Schizosaccharomyces pombe: one gene and its partner. Changing the gene in region 1 together with any one later gene gives a genetic interaction. Each region holds a gene or a part of one and is shown on either strand. Other genes may lie near its edges.

Region 1 (9,495 bases):
ATACTCTTAGTCGGAAGCGTGGTGCTAAGGGAAGTAATCCATTTGAAATCGAAAATATGATGCCACACGCCTAGAAAATAAAGAATTCTCGCGGCATTATTAACGATCGTTAATGAGAGCAACTATTTTAAAAGAGTCTTTATTTCAGGATTTACTGAAAAATTACACTGCAAAGTGAGGCCCGCAGCTTTTTGAGCAGTATCAATAGCATCGTCCATACCCCAGCCTTTCGAAAGCAAAGCAGTGAAAGTACCGATAAAAGTATCACCAGTTCCGCTAGCATTTACAGGGGTTGCTATAACTTTTGGAACAGGGTAATACTTTACAGTCACATTTCCGGGGGTAAAAAGGCTGGCTGAGTTTGAATTCACTCCTTGAAGTTTCTCAGAGCTTATTAAAAGAGCACCATTAGGTCCTAACTTAACAATAATATTCTTTATGAAGGGAAGTAAATGAAAACACTTTTGTAAGATTCCGTTTTCTGTAATTTCTTCTATTCCTGTACTTTTCGTAAAACGCTCAATCTCATTATAGAAAGAGGAGGTGATACCAAAGCTGTTTAACTTCTGCCACCATGACTCATTCTCGAAGAAATTTCCGTCTTTCATAGCTTGAAATAATACATCGAGTTCAAACTTGTTCGGTGTTATAAAATCAATTGAGGCAACAGATAAGACTTTTAGTATCTTTAATGTTTTGGGACCACTGGTTGGTTCAAAAACGACTCGTTGCTTACTCGATTTAGATGTGGTTATATCTAGCATCAATGACGGTGAAATATTACCATCAAAACAAATGTACTTAGCGTCATTAAGATCATCCTTGATTTCTGAATAACTAAGGTTTTCCATGATGGCCATGTCAGCTCCAGCTAATAATAAATTGCCATTACAATCGTTGATAGCTGTGTATGAGCAAGAGGTAAAGTTACTTTTCTCAACAATGGTATGCTGCAAAGAAGACTTGGTAAGATACTCTTTAATAGAGGAAGTGGGTACGGATTTTGTTCCAACACATGAAACCAACTTCGTAGAAGCGCCCATTAAAGAAGAAGCCAAAGCCATGTTATGAGCAACACCGCCAAAAGCCTGTTCAGAGTGACAAGGATGAGATGTGCCAAGGAATTTAGATGTTAAAGGATTATCCAATTTCAAAACTGAGTCAATAGACACACTACCAACACATACAACTTCTGCAGGTTTGGACGTTGTTTCTGTAATTTTTTTTTTGCTCGACGAAACCCCTTTGTCACTCACTTTACCATAGAAAAAGTCTTGTTTAACCGGCTTCGTTTCAAATGTATTTCCGGTGTTGGTAGGGAAAAAAGAGCTTTTTTCTTTTAAAACAGCTAGTTCTTTTGCAATAAGGGAAGCCTTTTCGGCATTGTTTAAGACCAAATCAATATTAGTATTTAAACTTTTCCCTTTTGATTCTCTTAGAAGTTCTCCTAAAAGCCATGGAGTTACATTTTTACCAGTTATGCCAAGTTGTACACTCCTTTGCAAACAAGTTTCAATCAAAGCCTCCATTTTTTCGTAATCAATAGAACAATGGTGAGGGGTGGGAATGGCCACAAGAGTACCACATTCCTGGCCAAGCTGTATATTACTAAAGAGCATGTTAGCAATTAACTGCGGAGTTTCTAGAGAAAGAGGGCTCTGGAACTTGGATTCTCTTGAAAAAAATGCAGGGAAAGCCGATTTTGGAGGGCCTAAAGTGACAACAGGAACACCCTGAGTTTCTAATACTTCAAGTGTGCGTCCAATATCGAGTATACTCTTGACACCAGCACTGACGACGGCAACCCTTGTGCGACCTAATTCTATTAAATCCGCAGAAATATCCATGGAATTTTCTGCCCCACGATGAACACCACCTATACCGCCCGTTGCGAATACGTCAATGCCAGCTGCTCTAGCCAAGATCATAGTTGCAGCAACTGTGGTTCCACCATTGAGTCTCTGGGAAGCAACATAAGATAAATCTCTACGAGACACTTTATATGCTGTTTCACCTGATTTAGCAAGTTCGCTTAACTGAAATTGTTCAAGCCCTATAGTACATTGTCCATTTAATAGAGCAATTGTCGCAGGAACCGCACCCATGCTGCGTACCTTGCTTTCCACTTGAATTGCCAATTCTTCATTTTGAGGATAAGGCATTCCATGAGTGATGATAGTTGATTCTAAGGCAACGACTGGTACGTTGTTTTTAAGGGCTTCTGTCACTTCCTTGGATAAGGCCAGCGGACTATATCTTCTGCAAAGTATATTCCTCAATCCAGGGTTTGGATTTCTCTTCAGCCTTCTGAACCCCAATGGAATACGTGAAACTAACCGACAACCTCTATTCATAACGATGAGCATATAAGCAAGATGCTAAGAAAAATAGTGATAAATAGGTAAATAATATAGGACAAACGAAGAAAGCGTATATCAGATAATATTAAAATCGTGAATAAATCGTACTATACGCGCTCACTCCGCGTATCTAATAAACGTAAAAAGAATGAGTGGAATAAAGTTAACCCAAAATTGAGATTTAAAAAGGACGTATACTATTAGGAATAAAAGTTTAAGGAACAAAAAATGAAAATGCCAGAACGATCAGACGACGTTTTTTATATATAATCTACCTCGGCAAATCATATCTAAACATGGTGGTGTCTGATAATAAATGTACGCTTTCCCCATGGAAAAGCCGATCACAAAAAATGTTACTTCGCCGATATATGTCAAGATAACTTTATAGTAAAATGTAAATAAAAGGAGAGCAGGCAAACTGAATACTTTGCCGGCGCTCCGAATTTACTGATACAAAACTTGGAATTGAGTTTTTTTTTGAATTCTTTTATTTATTTTGGTGTCGAAAACAATTCATATTAAAGCAATAGACTTGAATTTTGAATGGAGTTGCAATAAAATGCAACTCTATTTAAAAAAGAACTTCTTTTATCCAGGAAACCAATGCCATGACCCTTTTTTATCTATTGTGTTTAATTGTGAAACCATGTTCTGATTAAAGTATAAATATTCATTCTTCTGAAAGGAACTGAATTTTTTATGATGTTTGCATGGCTTAATTTGTCGAATTGTTTCATTATTTTTATAAAAGAATTTTACATTATTTACTATATTTTTATTCTAAGTACTAAGAGGTTTTTAAGCTGACTGAAGTGTAAAATTACTTTACCCAAAAAATTATATTACTATCATTTTTACAGAAAAGATAAAATAAGGATCAAGATTTGCCAGACTTTTGAGTTTTACCATATTCACATAATCCAATTGACAGACAAGTTTACTATAATAAAACAAATGTATATCTGTTTACAAACTATTGTTGTTAATTCCCTCCTTCAGGAAAAAATGTATCACTTCATAAAATGGTTGAACTTAGGTCTATGACTAAAAGATATTAACAGCAAACTAAGTAGTGCTATCTTGTTCTGAAGCATATTTTTACAAGTTTTATTATTCAATCTTTTAATCTCTTTCTCCCTTTTAACAATGTGCCTTGTATATTAGGATCAACCTAGATTGTTTAATATTTTCTAGTATTTTAACGAATTGCTTTTTTACTTTTTTCCATTTAACTTCCCCTTGTTTTTTAAGACTTTAGTGTTTATCTTGAAATTTACTTGACATTATACGCATGACATTTACCTAAGGAACCCAGCAAAAGCCTAGTCTTCGTCGGTTTTGACGAAATGAGTCAAATACAAGATTTAAAAGATGAGAATGTCGAAATGGATATTGATCCACAAGAACAAAACGAAAAAAAGCCTTTGCTTCTGGATGAATTGACCAAATTTACGATTTTACATCCCTATAATTATGATAGTCATATTAAACTCATTGAAGAGTTAAAGCGTCTAGATAAAAAGAAGGAGTTGTCAGAGGCTAGAAAGACTTTTCAATCGATCTTTCCACTTTCAGAAGGTATGTCAATCAACAATCGTCTAGGTAAAGCGTGTTGAGGCGAATTCCATAGACTCGCAAAAATTATTCACTAATTACTTTAACTTTGTTAATCTTTTGACAAGCATTTATTAATGGTTTTTAGATTTGTGGGTAGATTACCTTTTAGATGAGTGCAAAAACTGTAGGACTTTAGACGACTATGTGAGGATAAAAACATTGTTTGATTTGGCAGTTCAAGATTATCTGTCAATCAAAATTTGGTGTATGTATCTTGAATTTACGCTAAACTTAATGGACACTTCTTCTTTTGAACAAGAACAGTCTGAATTAAACGGCGTTATTACTTTGACAGATGCCCATTCTCTTTTTGAACGTGCATACCAAACTTGCAAATTTCATTTTTCTAAAGTAAGGAACTAAAAATTTTCTTCATGATAAAAATGTATTTACTAATCAATGTTTACAGAGTCAATGTGTTTGGACGTTATATTTGGAATTTTTACAGACGTTCGGTGATGCTCTATTTGAGGGAGAAGAAGAGCAAGAAATTGTTTTTAAAAACAAGATATATGATTTTCATATTGATAGATTAAAACTTCCACATGAGCAGATTGAAGAAACGTTTACTTCTTTATCAACGTTTGTCACAAATAACTGGTCTCCTTCCGAATATGAGGATGTTATGGTGAAAAGCAATAAAGTGTATGAGACTACACTTAAAAGAAATGCAAAAATTTTTAATAAAGAACTATTGTTAAACAGCGCAAATCATTCTCTCGAAGCGTATATGGATTTAATTAATGATGAATCGCGACGCTCAACAGCTGAGTTACAATATATAACAACTCTCTATGAGCGTGCCATAGTTTTGTATCCCCTCATTCCGGAACTCTGGTTGCAATACACTGCCTGGCTTAGTAAAGTGGATTTTTCTTCTTCTCAAGCGTCCAGTGTAGCAGAACGAGCTACTCGTAACTGTTCATGGATTGGGCGTATTTGGTCCATTAAACTGACTTATATGACGCTTTCTGGAGCATCCACATCGGCTGTCTGTGAAGAGAAAGATCGATGTTTGAATTCAAATTTGCTCGTAAATTTTGACGAGGTTATTGATTTTTTTAGCGGATTTTTAAAAGCATGCCTATATTTGTCTTCTAATGAAGATAAGCCACAGGAATTTTTGAAACATCAAATTCATAAAGTCGAAGACTATTTGCGAAAAAATCATAAGGGATCAAAGGATGCAAGAATGCGCATTGAACTTTCAAAAATTTATTTATATTCAGAAATCTCTGATTTTGAAAGCGTAGAAAAGTGCTGGTCTGATATGTTTCATGATTTTCAAAATCAGGCATTATATTGGATTTCTCGATACATAAGTACGATGAAGTATAACCCAGAGCTTGCGGCTGAGACGTTAAAAAAAAGCCTTTACAAAAACGTTGATCAGCCTCAACTTCTGTTCCAATTTTATCAATCCATTATGGACCTTAATAATGACTGTTTCACAAACACATCACATTTATATGACGTTTTAAATGCACAGAGGATTAGCTTCAAACGTCAATTGGATTCTTTTGCTGAAGAAACGAAGCAGACTGTCGAAAACACCGAACCACTAAAAGTGCCTCAAGCTGATGATACAGCCGCCCTTTCAAAGAAAAGAAAACCTGGGCAAGAAGGTGATGTGTTCAAAAAGTCGAAACCTATTGAGCAACACAGGAATAGGGAAGAACTTACAGTTTTGGTTACCAATCTACCTTCCGATATAAGCGAAAATGAGTTGAAAATTTTTTTCAAAGATTGTGGTAATATTATACGCATTTTTATCCTCGAAGACAATCAAAAGGATGTTAAAGTGGCTCAGATTGAATTTTCTGAAACCAGTGAAGTTCTTGCTGCTAAAACAAGAGACCTTAAATCGATAAGGGGTCATGAAATTTCTGTTCAAATTCATGTAGACACGAACCTCTACGTTACCAATTTTCCTCCGACTTATGATGAATTAGATATAACCAAATTATTTTCTGCATATGGTAATGTGGTTGACGTCCGTTTTCCTAGTCTAAGGTATAACACGAACAGGCGTTTTTGTTATGTACAAATGAGAAAGCCCGATGAGGCACACAATGCCCTGCAGTTACATAAGAAGCTATTGGAAGAGAAGTATCCTATTCAAGTCTTTATATCAGACCCGCTTCGGCGAACTCCTAGAAGCGGTGCTGTCTATGAGGGTAGAGAACTCTACGTTACAAATATTGATTTTAAAGTAAATGAAAAAGACGTAGAAACATTTTTTAGGGATTATGGGCAGGTTGAGAGTGTTCGAATACCGAAAAGATTTAATCAACATAAAGGTTTTGGATATGTGGTAATGACTACAAATCAAGATGCTGAAAATGCACTTTCTGCTGCTGGAAAGCAATTGGGAAATAGAGTTTTGAACGTTGTTTTGTCGAAGCCTCGAGAATCTCTAGAGAAAACAAGGGTATCATCCAATGACAACCGAACCTTAGCTAAAAGCTTTGAGACTACTGAGTCAAATAAAATGTCAACGCCAAAAAAATCATTCGAACAAATCAAAAGCAAAAGCCTAGGAGTCACTAATGTCGACGGGACTGTTAACGAGGCTAGACTTAGAAGTTTATTCGAAAGCTACGGAAAGTTGTATAGAGTTGTTCTTCATCCTGAACATGAAGGTGCTGTAGTAGAGTTTTTGGATATTCATGATGCGGGAAAGGCATCCTTGGCATTAGAAGGACATGAAATTGGTGGCAGGTTACTACACATTACCACTGTCAATGAAATGATGCACAATGTCCCATCTAGTATGAATCATTCCGATTACAATACCTCTGCTACACGCCCACGGCGACTCGGAAGCCGAACGTTTCAAGGTTTCAATTCCAATCATTCCAATATAAATTCTAAGAAGGACGATTTAGACGATAAAGAAATGCAGATAGATGCACCTAAAAGCAACGATGATTTTAGGAAAATGTTTTTAAAATAGTCAGCAATAATTAGATTGAATGATTAAAAAAATATTGAAAACCTAACTTTTGATAATTTTGATTTATTAACATAAAAGACGAACAACACCTCATGTACGTGAAAGACTTGGGAGCGGATTTCCAGGTATTTCCACTATTTTTAGATTAGCACTATGATCTTTGGATAAGATTGCAAGTGAAACCAGATTTGTAATGCAGCAACATAATAAATTTTTTAAATAGTTGGTTTGCAAGAAATACGGGTTGATGAACTCATTCTGTTCAAAACCGGATTTTATAACATTAATAAGGCTATTCTTTGCAGCAGTGAATTTTTCATTAGATTTGATGATTAAATCATCCGTAGAGAAATTTTGAAGATTTTTGATTATGCAATCAGCTTCCGAACGAAGTAGTGGCTTGGGTTGACGCAAATTAATTAAAGGACGATAATGGGCCATGTAATATGACTCTTGAATTTTTTCATCAAGAGTAAATGAAGGAGTTTTAATGATATTCAACCGCATACAAAGCACCGTCAGCTAAAATCGTTAGAATAAAAAAGAAGCGATAAGCTTTATACATACTAGTAAATAGCCAGAATAGGTCTCCTTTATAGCATTCAATATTCGATGCAAATATGTAACAAAGGTTTTGGCCATAGGTGGGGTATTACGATCCTTTCCATGAAGCTCTAAATGAGTCTGGTGGATAGAAAAGACATGATCAAGCACAGCAAAAAAATGGGGCCATTGATATGGTTGGTGAAGTTTTTGTTCAAAGGAAGAAAGCAAGATATGCTCAATTGCATTTAGCTTAACATGGTAAATAAATGATGAAAACGGTCCATTACTTGGTAGGCTTTTTGCTACGAATTTCAAATCAAGCGCTTCAGCTTCAAAATGAGCAACGGTAATTTCAGGAAGTAAATTTATTAGATTACGGCGGAACCGACAGGGATTGTGGGAACAAATTCGGACAAGGTCAACCATGATATTAGTTGAATGAGCAATCAAAGACTCAACTAGCGGACCATAGGCTGATGAGATAGAGTTTTTTTCGATTACTGTACGGGTGTTAGGATTATAAAAATTTGAAGGAAGCCCAGAAAACTCACGAATACATTCTAACATATACGAAGTAGGTTGATCCCTTAGATTAACTGCATTGTTAGCAGTGATAAGTGCTTGAAGGGAGGAACGGACGTAAGGCTCTGGAGTACGATTCAATCTCGTAAAATCTAAACAAAACTGATATACTGCCAAGGAAGAAGCGAGAGTGTGGCTATTCAAAATCAAAAGCATATCATCAGCAAAATACAAAATTCGTTGATAAGAATGCTCAATGCCAGTAGGAGGAATATTCCTCACAGGAGCTGTAGCAACTAATTGGGCTTGGACGCGAAAATCCCAATATTGCTTTAATATGCTCTCCTTGATAGATGAATCAACTACCGAAACCGTGTTCTGAATCTCGGGTACCAAATTTTTGATCAGATGGAGAGCATCGATGGTGGTCTTAATATCACTCCTTTCATACACTCGTAAAATACCAATTCGAAGTTGTATTCTATTGAGAATTCCCTCGATAATTTGTCGTAACTCGGCAGAAAATTTTATAACCTCGGAAGCCAAATATTCGATGCTAGATTGCAAAAGATAATTGAGTTTTTCTATGGGGTAATTTTGAAGAAAGGACATGTGATATGAAAACGAACTAATGTCTTCCTCGTCATATAAATTTCCCATCAGAAATTCTCGATGAACAATATCGCAACATTTAATAACAGCCAAAACAAAAGGGAAAAGAACGATGTCAGTTGTATTCCTTCCGCTACCACTGGAGAAGCCACTGTCACCCACTTGTGAAATAGGCGACTTGCAAATGGAGAACACATGGGCACTACAGAGTAAGCTCTCTGATAAGGGGGATCCATAATGCCACTCTTTTTCCGCAGAGACAATTAAATCCATTAACGCTAATATTTCCAAGTAAGAGAGATCACGTGAAAAATCTACACGAAGTGGCTGATAATCAATCCCACTATCCATTTTCGGTTCCATAATTTCAAAGGCACTGATTGAATCCAATAATGTAAATTTTGGATCACATACTAGCTGTTCCTCTTTCAGAGATTTCGTGGCTTCAAAGTAAGACTTTGTACAGTCGACATATCCAGCGTTATCAACATAACCTTCGTTCCCTTTGGCCGGTTCCACATTTCCAATCTTCACATTTCCTTGCATAGAATTAAGCAATGATAGGGACTCTTTAACAGACATAAAATCGACAAAACACCCCTATATTGACCAATTTTCTATTGAACGTCTAGTTTATGGGTTAATGAAAAGTGTTACTCTGTAAGTCACAACAAAAATTCCACGCATAAAAATGCTTGTTCAATAACATTTTCGAGAGTAAATAAGATGGTAATTTTTTCAATAATAATAAAAACAATGATAAATCCAATTTGAAATTATTTTACTTGTATCTGCAAAGGTAAAAAACTATCTCGATGGTAACCCATCTCACCTAGCAGTAGAATATCTAAAAACTTTTTATAAAATAAAGAGAAGGAA
Region 2 (7,436 bases), on another chromosome or scaffold:
GGGAGTAGCAGTGGTATGAGTGCTATGAACACTAACACTACTAGTACTACGCCAGTGTCTGGTAAAACTTAACTACACATTACGCTGAGAGGTAAAATACTCTGACAACATTCGTTCGATTGTATAAAACAAAATCCAGCCGAAACGATTGTTGTCAGTAATCAAGATTACGATCTAAATTGAGTACCAAGACAAAACGAAATGGTTAAAAAGTTAAAGTCGTTTTTGTATGGACACAATTTCTATAAAATAGACATGAGTAAAATCTCGCTATTTGTTTGTTATTGTGGAATAATGAAGAGTCATGGGAGATGAATGTTGTAAACGATGGCATAGAATTGGTAACGAAAAGTGAAATCGTTGGGATCAACTATTTCAGTATTTTGTTTAAAGAAAATGTTGAACTCGACAAGTAATGAGAGGTGGTGCTTTCGTTAAATAATGAGTGGTGGTTACGGTTATACAGGATATGATATGTGTATGGTGAGAATGTGATGTATGTATTTGAGTATAGACAATCAGAAAATCTGTAAATAATCAAGTCGCAAGAAAAAATGAAAATAGATATACAAAGTAAAGAGATGAATGAAATGACAAGGTATCGTAATGAAAATTGAAATTGTTGAAGACGAATAGATGAGTAAATGAGTAAGTGAGTAGAGTAGATGAGTAGATGAGTAGATGAGTAAATAAGTAAATGAGTAAATAAGTAAATAAGTAAATGAGTAAAGAGAGTAATCGTTTGAATAGGACGACGATGCTCACTATTGATGATGGGTTGGTTACAGTTACATGGTTGCATTGGATATGTGTAAGGTGATAATGACGATGATTAATAAGAAATGGAATAAAGTGTCGCTATTGAATGAAAATGAAAATGAAATGAAAATAATGAGTCAGTCATATTACAAGTAAGACGGTAGATAATAAAGAATAGTTATGTAAGTTGGTATTGTGAAAGATGATGATAGAAAATAATAATTGATGAACAGATGAGATAAATAAGATGAAGATTTCGTTTGAATGAAAAGTAACGGTTCTATAACATATGAAATGAGGTGAATGGTAGTAAGATAGATAGAATAGAGTAAGATAGATAGAATAGAGTAAGATCGATAGAATAAAGTATGGTGATATAAATAGAGATATACAAATACATTGCGAGAATGTAAATAGAAAAATAAACAAGTGACTCTAGTAAATCGAAATAAAAAAAAATGCAAAGTAGCTGGCAGTAAAAGAGTACGTGTATGTAGGATGAAAACAGATGTTTGTTTTTGATAAATATTAGCTTCGTTAAAAAAAGTTAAGGGTACGATAAAGCCAACTGAACGACGTATAGTGATGAATAAGAGGAGTAATAGTAAGAAAAAGGAATGTCAATTAGAAAAAGGAATTTCAAGTAGAAAGATAGAAAAGAGGAAGAGGAAGAGAAAGAGAAAGAGAAAGAGATAGAAGATGAAAATATTGGAAAGTAGATGATGAAATTAGTGCATTCTATTCCACTAAAACAAATCAACTAAATTATTGAAAAAACAGTCGTTACAATTACTGGTGATATATCAGCTGGCAATGAATATGTCAAATAGGAATTGAATACGATAGAGAAAAGTACAACTTTTGTTATTGTTATTGAAAGTAAAAAAATAAAGTAGAGAATAAAGTAGTAACAGATAATGAAACAATAATGAAACAAATAGAGAAAAAGATTAAATTTCGTTAATTAGAAGAGAAAATGTTTGAGTAATAATAAACAAAAAGAAGAGTGATATGTCATGTTGTAGAATGAATATAGCGACAAAAATAGAAAAGTATATGAAGTTGAAATATTATAGATAATGAAAATAATGAATAATGAATAATGAATTAATATATTATACAAGTTTCGCTATTTTGATAGAAAATAAATAAATATACTAAATAAATAAAATGAAAATTAATCAAAGTAAATTAAAATAAAACAAAAAAAAATTAACAAAAATATTAAAACTTAATAAAATAAAATAAAACAAAGTAAATTAAGATAAAACAACATAAAATTCGATAAATTATAACTTAACTTTTTTTTTTTTTTTTTTTTTTATTTACATTTTACTCTTTTAAAGTTTTCAAAAGATCTAAAATAATCTAAACTAAAAAGCTTCTGTTCTAATGGTGTTCTAGATGCCTTATTGTTCATCTAGAACAAAAAAAAAAGGAAGACTAAAAATTAAATTATGCTAACATAAACATTTATGAAAATAGCAAAATAGAAAATGTAGGAAAATAAAATTTTGCTGCATGTTTATATCCTTGGCTGGAATCTTATATCTCGGCCATTGGGGTCTACAAGATTTTAATTATGGCTTTCGGTTTAAAAGTTGAGCCATCGGGAGGTGGTGTCCTTACTTCTGACAGTCTTCCTACACATAATGGAAAAACGGCATTACAGTCAGATGCAACAGTTGGTTCTGACATTCAACAAATAGAATTACAAAATATGCCTACTCCTGTGAAAAAATTAATCTTTATCGTTTTCATGATCATATAGAATGTAATCATCCTTAGCAATGTCATAATTAAGGATTCAAATTATACAATGATAGATGATACAACAATTAAATAGATCTCGATGATGATTTATTAAAGTCTATATTGTTTGCAATACTATAAATAGAGACACAACTGAACATCGTTCCTCAGTTCAGTTATTTAGCTATATCGGTGACCGATACCATTAGACTCCTTATAACAATAATTATAACAATTGTTAGTTAGACATACCGCATACCACTAGTTTGTAGGTCGCAAAAGAAACTCACCGCTATTATACGTATCGTTAAACAGATACCAAACTGCGTAGCTGTTAAATTGTGAAAAGAAAAAGGTTGTAAGGATTACGAGATGCCAACATCATAATGCTTTTCCTAAATAAATGAGACACCTCAGAACGTAAAACATTCACCATTTTGGTTTTTTTTTTAATTTTCTCGTTTATGGCTTAAAATATTTTAGTATATTTTCTTTTTTATTTTCCATAAACCACTCTTTTTAATTTTACTTTGGGGAAAAATACTAGTGAATCAGAAGTCATCAAATTACAGTGCTGTCGTTCTATTCCAATGTCAAATCCAGAAAGCTTGAAAAAACAGGTTGAACCTCCTGGTTACAATGAGTTATTTATGGTGGAAGATGTTTGTAATGTGGACCTAGAGCAGGGACTTGATTTGTGTAAGCCTGAAAAGGTAAACAAACAATCTCAACGATCTCGACAATCCCGACAATCCCTCTTTACCAACACCATTAAGCCTCAAAAAGACAAGATGAATATTAAAACAAATAAAATAAAAGAGTTTTTAAATGACCTTTTTACTGAATTTTCTAAATTCCACAATAGCTATTATCCTAATGGAAGAATTTCTACTCAGGACAAATCTCGATGGGTCTTGCTTATTATTTGGTCTATTATCACTATTTTAACAATAGACAAGAAATTTAAAATAAAAGAGTCATATTTAGAATGGATAGGTGAAAATCAGTCCCACAGTGAAATTTGGGGGCCTATTGTTATTTATGTTGGCTTATTCATACTCTTATTGTCTGCTTTTAACTGTACGTTTCCTTCACACTGAAGCTGTTTTTTCTCTTTACTAATAGTTTATTGTAGACTGCTCCAAGCTTATTATAAAAGCTCTACCGTTAATCAGTATGGTTATAGCATGGGTCGGTGTGGTTATAGCAGCGTTCAGTGTGATTATCACTGCAACAATAGCAGGAGTTATAGCAGCGTTCAGTGTGATTATCACTGCAACAATAGCAGGAGTTATAGCAGCTATGGTTGGAATCTTATATTTCGGCCATTGGCTGGTCTACAAGATTTTAATTTTGGCTTTCGGCTTTAAAATTGTGACATCAGGAGACGTCTGTGTTTCTAACACTCTTCCTACACATAACGGAGAAACAGCATTACATTCAGATGCAACAGTTGGTTCTGATATTGAACAAATAGAACTACAAAATATGCCTACTCCTGTGAAAAAATAATTTTCTTTATCGTTTTCATGATCATATAGAATATAACTATTCTTAACAATGTTCGAATTGACTGTCCTGTCCAAATCATGCACATAAGGTGCGTTCGTTATGAATTTCAATTATGGAACCAACCAGAATCACCTCACAGGTGTTTCATTAACCAAAATTTATTAATTGGTTTTAATTAAGATATTATCACATAATGTTACTAATGTTTTTATCTCTCGTTTTATGCTTAATCAAATACTATGAATGTCATTTACTGCGTTTACAAAATGAATTCTTAATGATACATCATGAATGACTCGTTTCTAAGGTTATGTGTCTGGAAACTTGAAAAATGCAATGTAGTATATGCAAACTGATAAGTCGCTTATTTATTAATTTAATAAATTTCTGAATTGCAAGTTAAATTCTGGTAGCAAAGAATTAAATTATTCAGAGTCTTTCTAAAATCACTGTTTTTATATTGACATCCTCACTAGATTAGCTTTTCAACAATATACTGCTGCTACAAAAAAATAATATTCCTTTTTTCCGCTCGTGCAAACGAAATTTCAATTTGTTACTTCTTAACCCCTATTTAGCAGACGATAGCTATTTATTAATCAACGGATTTTTTTGCCGGGTTTCGAACGAACTGTAAATTAGATAATGACAGGATGTAAGAAGCAAAACAGTATATATCATTTTTTCCTTTATTCAATTAAAATAGCAAAGAAATATTATATATAAAGTTTATACACTAAGTATATTAGCTTTTGAATTACTTTTTAAAATATGGAAGATCTCGCAACTCTTAATAAAGCTAATTCCTGCTAATTCGCTATACACTAAATCTTAATAAACTTGCTTCATTATTTTCTCGATAAATATTTTATTTATAACAGTTTGTTAAATTGACAGGGTCCTTGCTAAGTTTCTATATACAACATAAACATACTATACGAAATAACATTTTTCTCAAGGTATGTAGAGTATAAATGCTCCAACGTGGCACAATTTCATTTCGTTTAGTTTACTAAAAACCCATATTCGCGTCGCACTCACACAGAATCTAGAGTTTAGTACATTTTACCGGCTCAACAATTAACCATTCAAATTGTATTTCAAGTATGAGTAACAATCGAATAAAATATTGTATTCTTGCTTTCCTATAAAAGTATTTTGATAATCGTAAAGCTGGGAATACCATTTGCCTGTACTTTGGCAGTTATGGTGCTGCCATGTTGCTCCTTTTATAGTTATATCCTGTATGTTAAAAACTTTTATGGAACTATCGCACTTCTGTTTAACAGCATCATAAGCCTTAAATGCTAAATTTCGATTATTAACTGGTATTCCTGAACAATCACGTATACCGTTTTTGAAGTCTTGGACCATGAAATCGTCGCCTGAGCGTCTATCAAACGCACCTAATTGCATCAGCTGAGTCATGTTCATATTATGTCTTGAACTGTCATCGAATTCAATACTCATAGTAGTCAACGCAAAGAGAGATACTGAACATATTGGCACATCATCTAAATTGCCATTTCATAATGAAAAGCAACCCTTCTGACATTCGTTTATTTAAAGAAACACTCGTCAATCAAACGTGTGTAATCACCATCATTAACTTCGACTGTATTAAATAATACAAGTCTACCCAAACTCAGTTATCGTTCCGTTAGTCACATTACTATATGCATTAAAACAATCAACTACTGCCTATCTGAACTCAGACGAATTGGTATTATAAGCATCAATAGTTAGGACACACATTATGAGTAATAAAACTAGAGTAATCATTGCTATATCGAAGAGTATAACTTATTTGGGTTGAAAACTATCACTAGACGTAAAATCTAATATACTAAACGAGTTAGGAGGTTCAGTTGTAGTTCTTTATTTATCATCTTTTCTAATGATTGCTATCATCGGGTATTCTATGTAAGTAGACAAATTTGTAATACATTTACGTTATTCATTTCCTTTCCTTGAAGGTGTTGTAATATTCAATAGATCCCTTGAAAATTACATCAGCTCTATAAAGGTTGGCTCATTGCTAAAACTCAAGTGTTGCTCAAATGGTTTAATAATGTCAGCTACGCAGTTTTGGTATCTGTTTAACGATACGTATAAGTACGATGTGTTTTCCTTCTGACCTAGTATATTACAGTACACAGGTAATATAAGTAGCACCTTCTATAGATATTTATTAAACTGTTACCTATCACTGTAATAGCTTATTACAGAACTGAGGAACGAGGTTAGTTCTTCTCAATTTATGGCATTTAGAATTATTTTTATTATTACGTTTGATTAGTTTTGTTCACAACTAGCAATATGTCTAAATAACTTATCGTGTAAAGTTGATAGAGCAAATAGAACACGTAGCTCAGAAAACACAATTCCTCTAATTTAATCCTCCCAAGTCCACGACATACCCACTACAGGTTGGTCTCTCGACTGATGGATAGAGAGTCTATCAATCTTGTATTCTTAGCGGTGAACCACCACCATCCAAAAAACTAGTGAACTACTTATATCTTAGTAATGAGTCGAGTAACAAACTTTTTACGATAATGATACTATGAAGAAGCATCTACCAGTTGTGCATATGTCAAAATAGCGTTATAATTTTATAACATCACACAAATATATTAATCGAATAGTCCTAAGTCACACCGTAGTTGACAAAGCGGCGTTGCTAGTTCCATAAGTAATATTTGTACGAGCATATACGATTAATTGATTCGTAAAATATGATCTTTTTATGCTAATACTATTATTCATTACTGTCTACCATATTTTGTAGTTCATCATTATTTTATTTATACAATTACTAGCTTTGATTTTTGAATTGTTATTTGGTTATTGATAGCAATTGATATTAAACGCTTATTCTTTAATATTATTGCACATACATCGTATTTACTGAATATGCCGGATAAAAACAACAGACTTGTGTCCCCGTGATCTAATAAGTTTAGTTATGTGCATCTTAAATACCGGCACAATTATGATGTGGAAAGCAGTAAAAAACATTTCCATATCAGTATTCGTACTTATTGCTGAAGAAGACATATAATTCTGATTTATTTCTGCAGATACATGTATTCATGAAACCTAATGTAAAATAACAATCATCTCCGGCGCAATCGTCAATGCACTAAGAAGAATTCATAATCTATGTCGCTAGTCCCACGCTTGCTTAGTTCAACAGATCGTATCAAGTTCTGCTTGACAAAGTGATTGTATGGTATTCCGTTAAGTAAATTGCAAGCAGGTAAAGATGTCAATCCGGAAAAAGATCGAAAACTAACATGACCAGTAATATTGTTACGTCGTTCACAATCAATAAGTGCTCTAAATTTTACTTCAATGAGATTCCTAATTGTCAAAGGCATCAATCAATACGGTAGTATTGCGTACTGTTT

The links. Genes that interact genetically often act in the same process or in processes that back each other up.
Region 2: mutations in prp24 (region 1) and SPOM_SPAC212.04C together harm fitness more than expected from each alone (negative genetic interaction), as found in Schizosaccharomyces pombe (one large-scale study listed by BioGRID).

What each region holds. Positions count from the first base shown.
Region 1 is NC_003423.3:4,133,422-4,142,916, reverse strand, and holds prp24 (RNA-binding protein Prp24), read left to right. Parts: upstream 1-3,678; 5' UTR 3,679-3,709; coding exon 3,710-3,941; exon of another isoform or gene 3,942-4,065; coding exon 4,066-4,331; exon of another isoform or gene 4,332-4,389; coding exon 4,390-6,936; 3' UTR 6,937-6,957; downstream 6,958-9,495. Other genes in the region: protein Mug131, read left to right, coding at 1-74; SPOM_SPBC1861.05 (carbohydrate kinase), read right to left, coding at 123-2,366; naa35 (NatC N-acetyltransferase complex subunit Mak10), read right to left, coding at 7,027-7,458, 7,504-9,198.
Region 2 is NC_003424.3:18,486-25,921, forward strand, and holds SPOM_SPAC212.04C (uncharacterized protein), read left to right. Parts: upstream 1-3,101; coding exon 3,102-3,591; intron 3,592-3,646; coding exon 3,647-4,023; 3' UTR 4,024-4,565; downstream 4,566-7,436. Other genes in the region: SPOM_SPAC212.06C (DNA helicase-like protein), read left to right, coding at 1-72; SPOM_SPAC212.03 (uncharacterized protein), read right to left, coding at 5,104-5,493.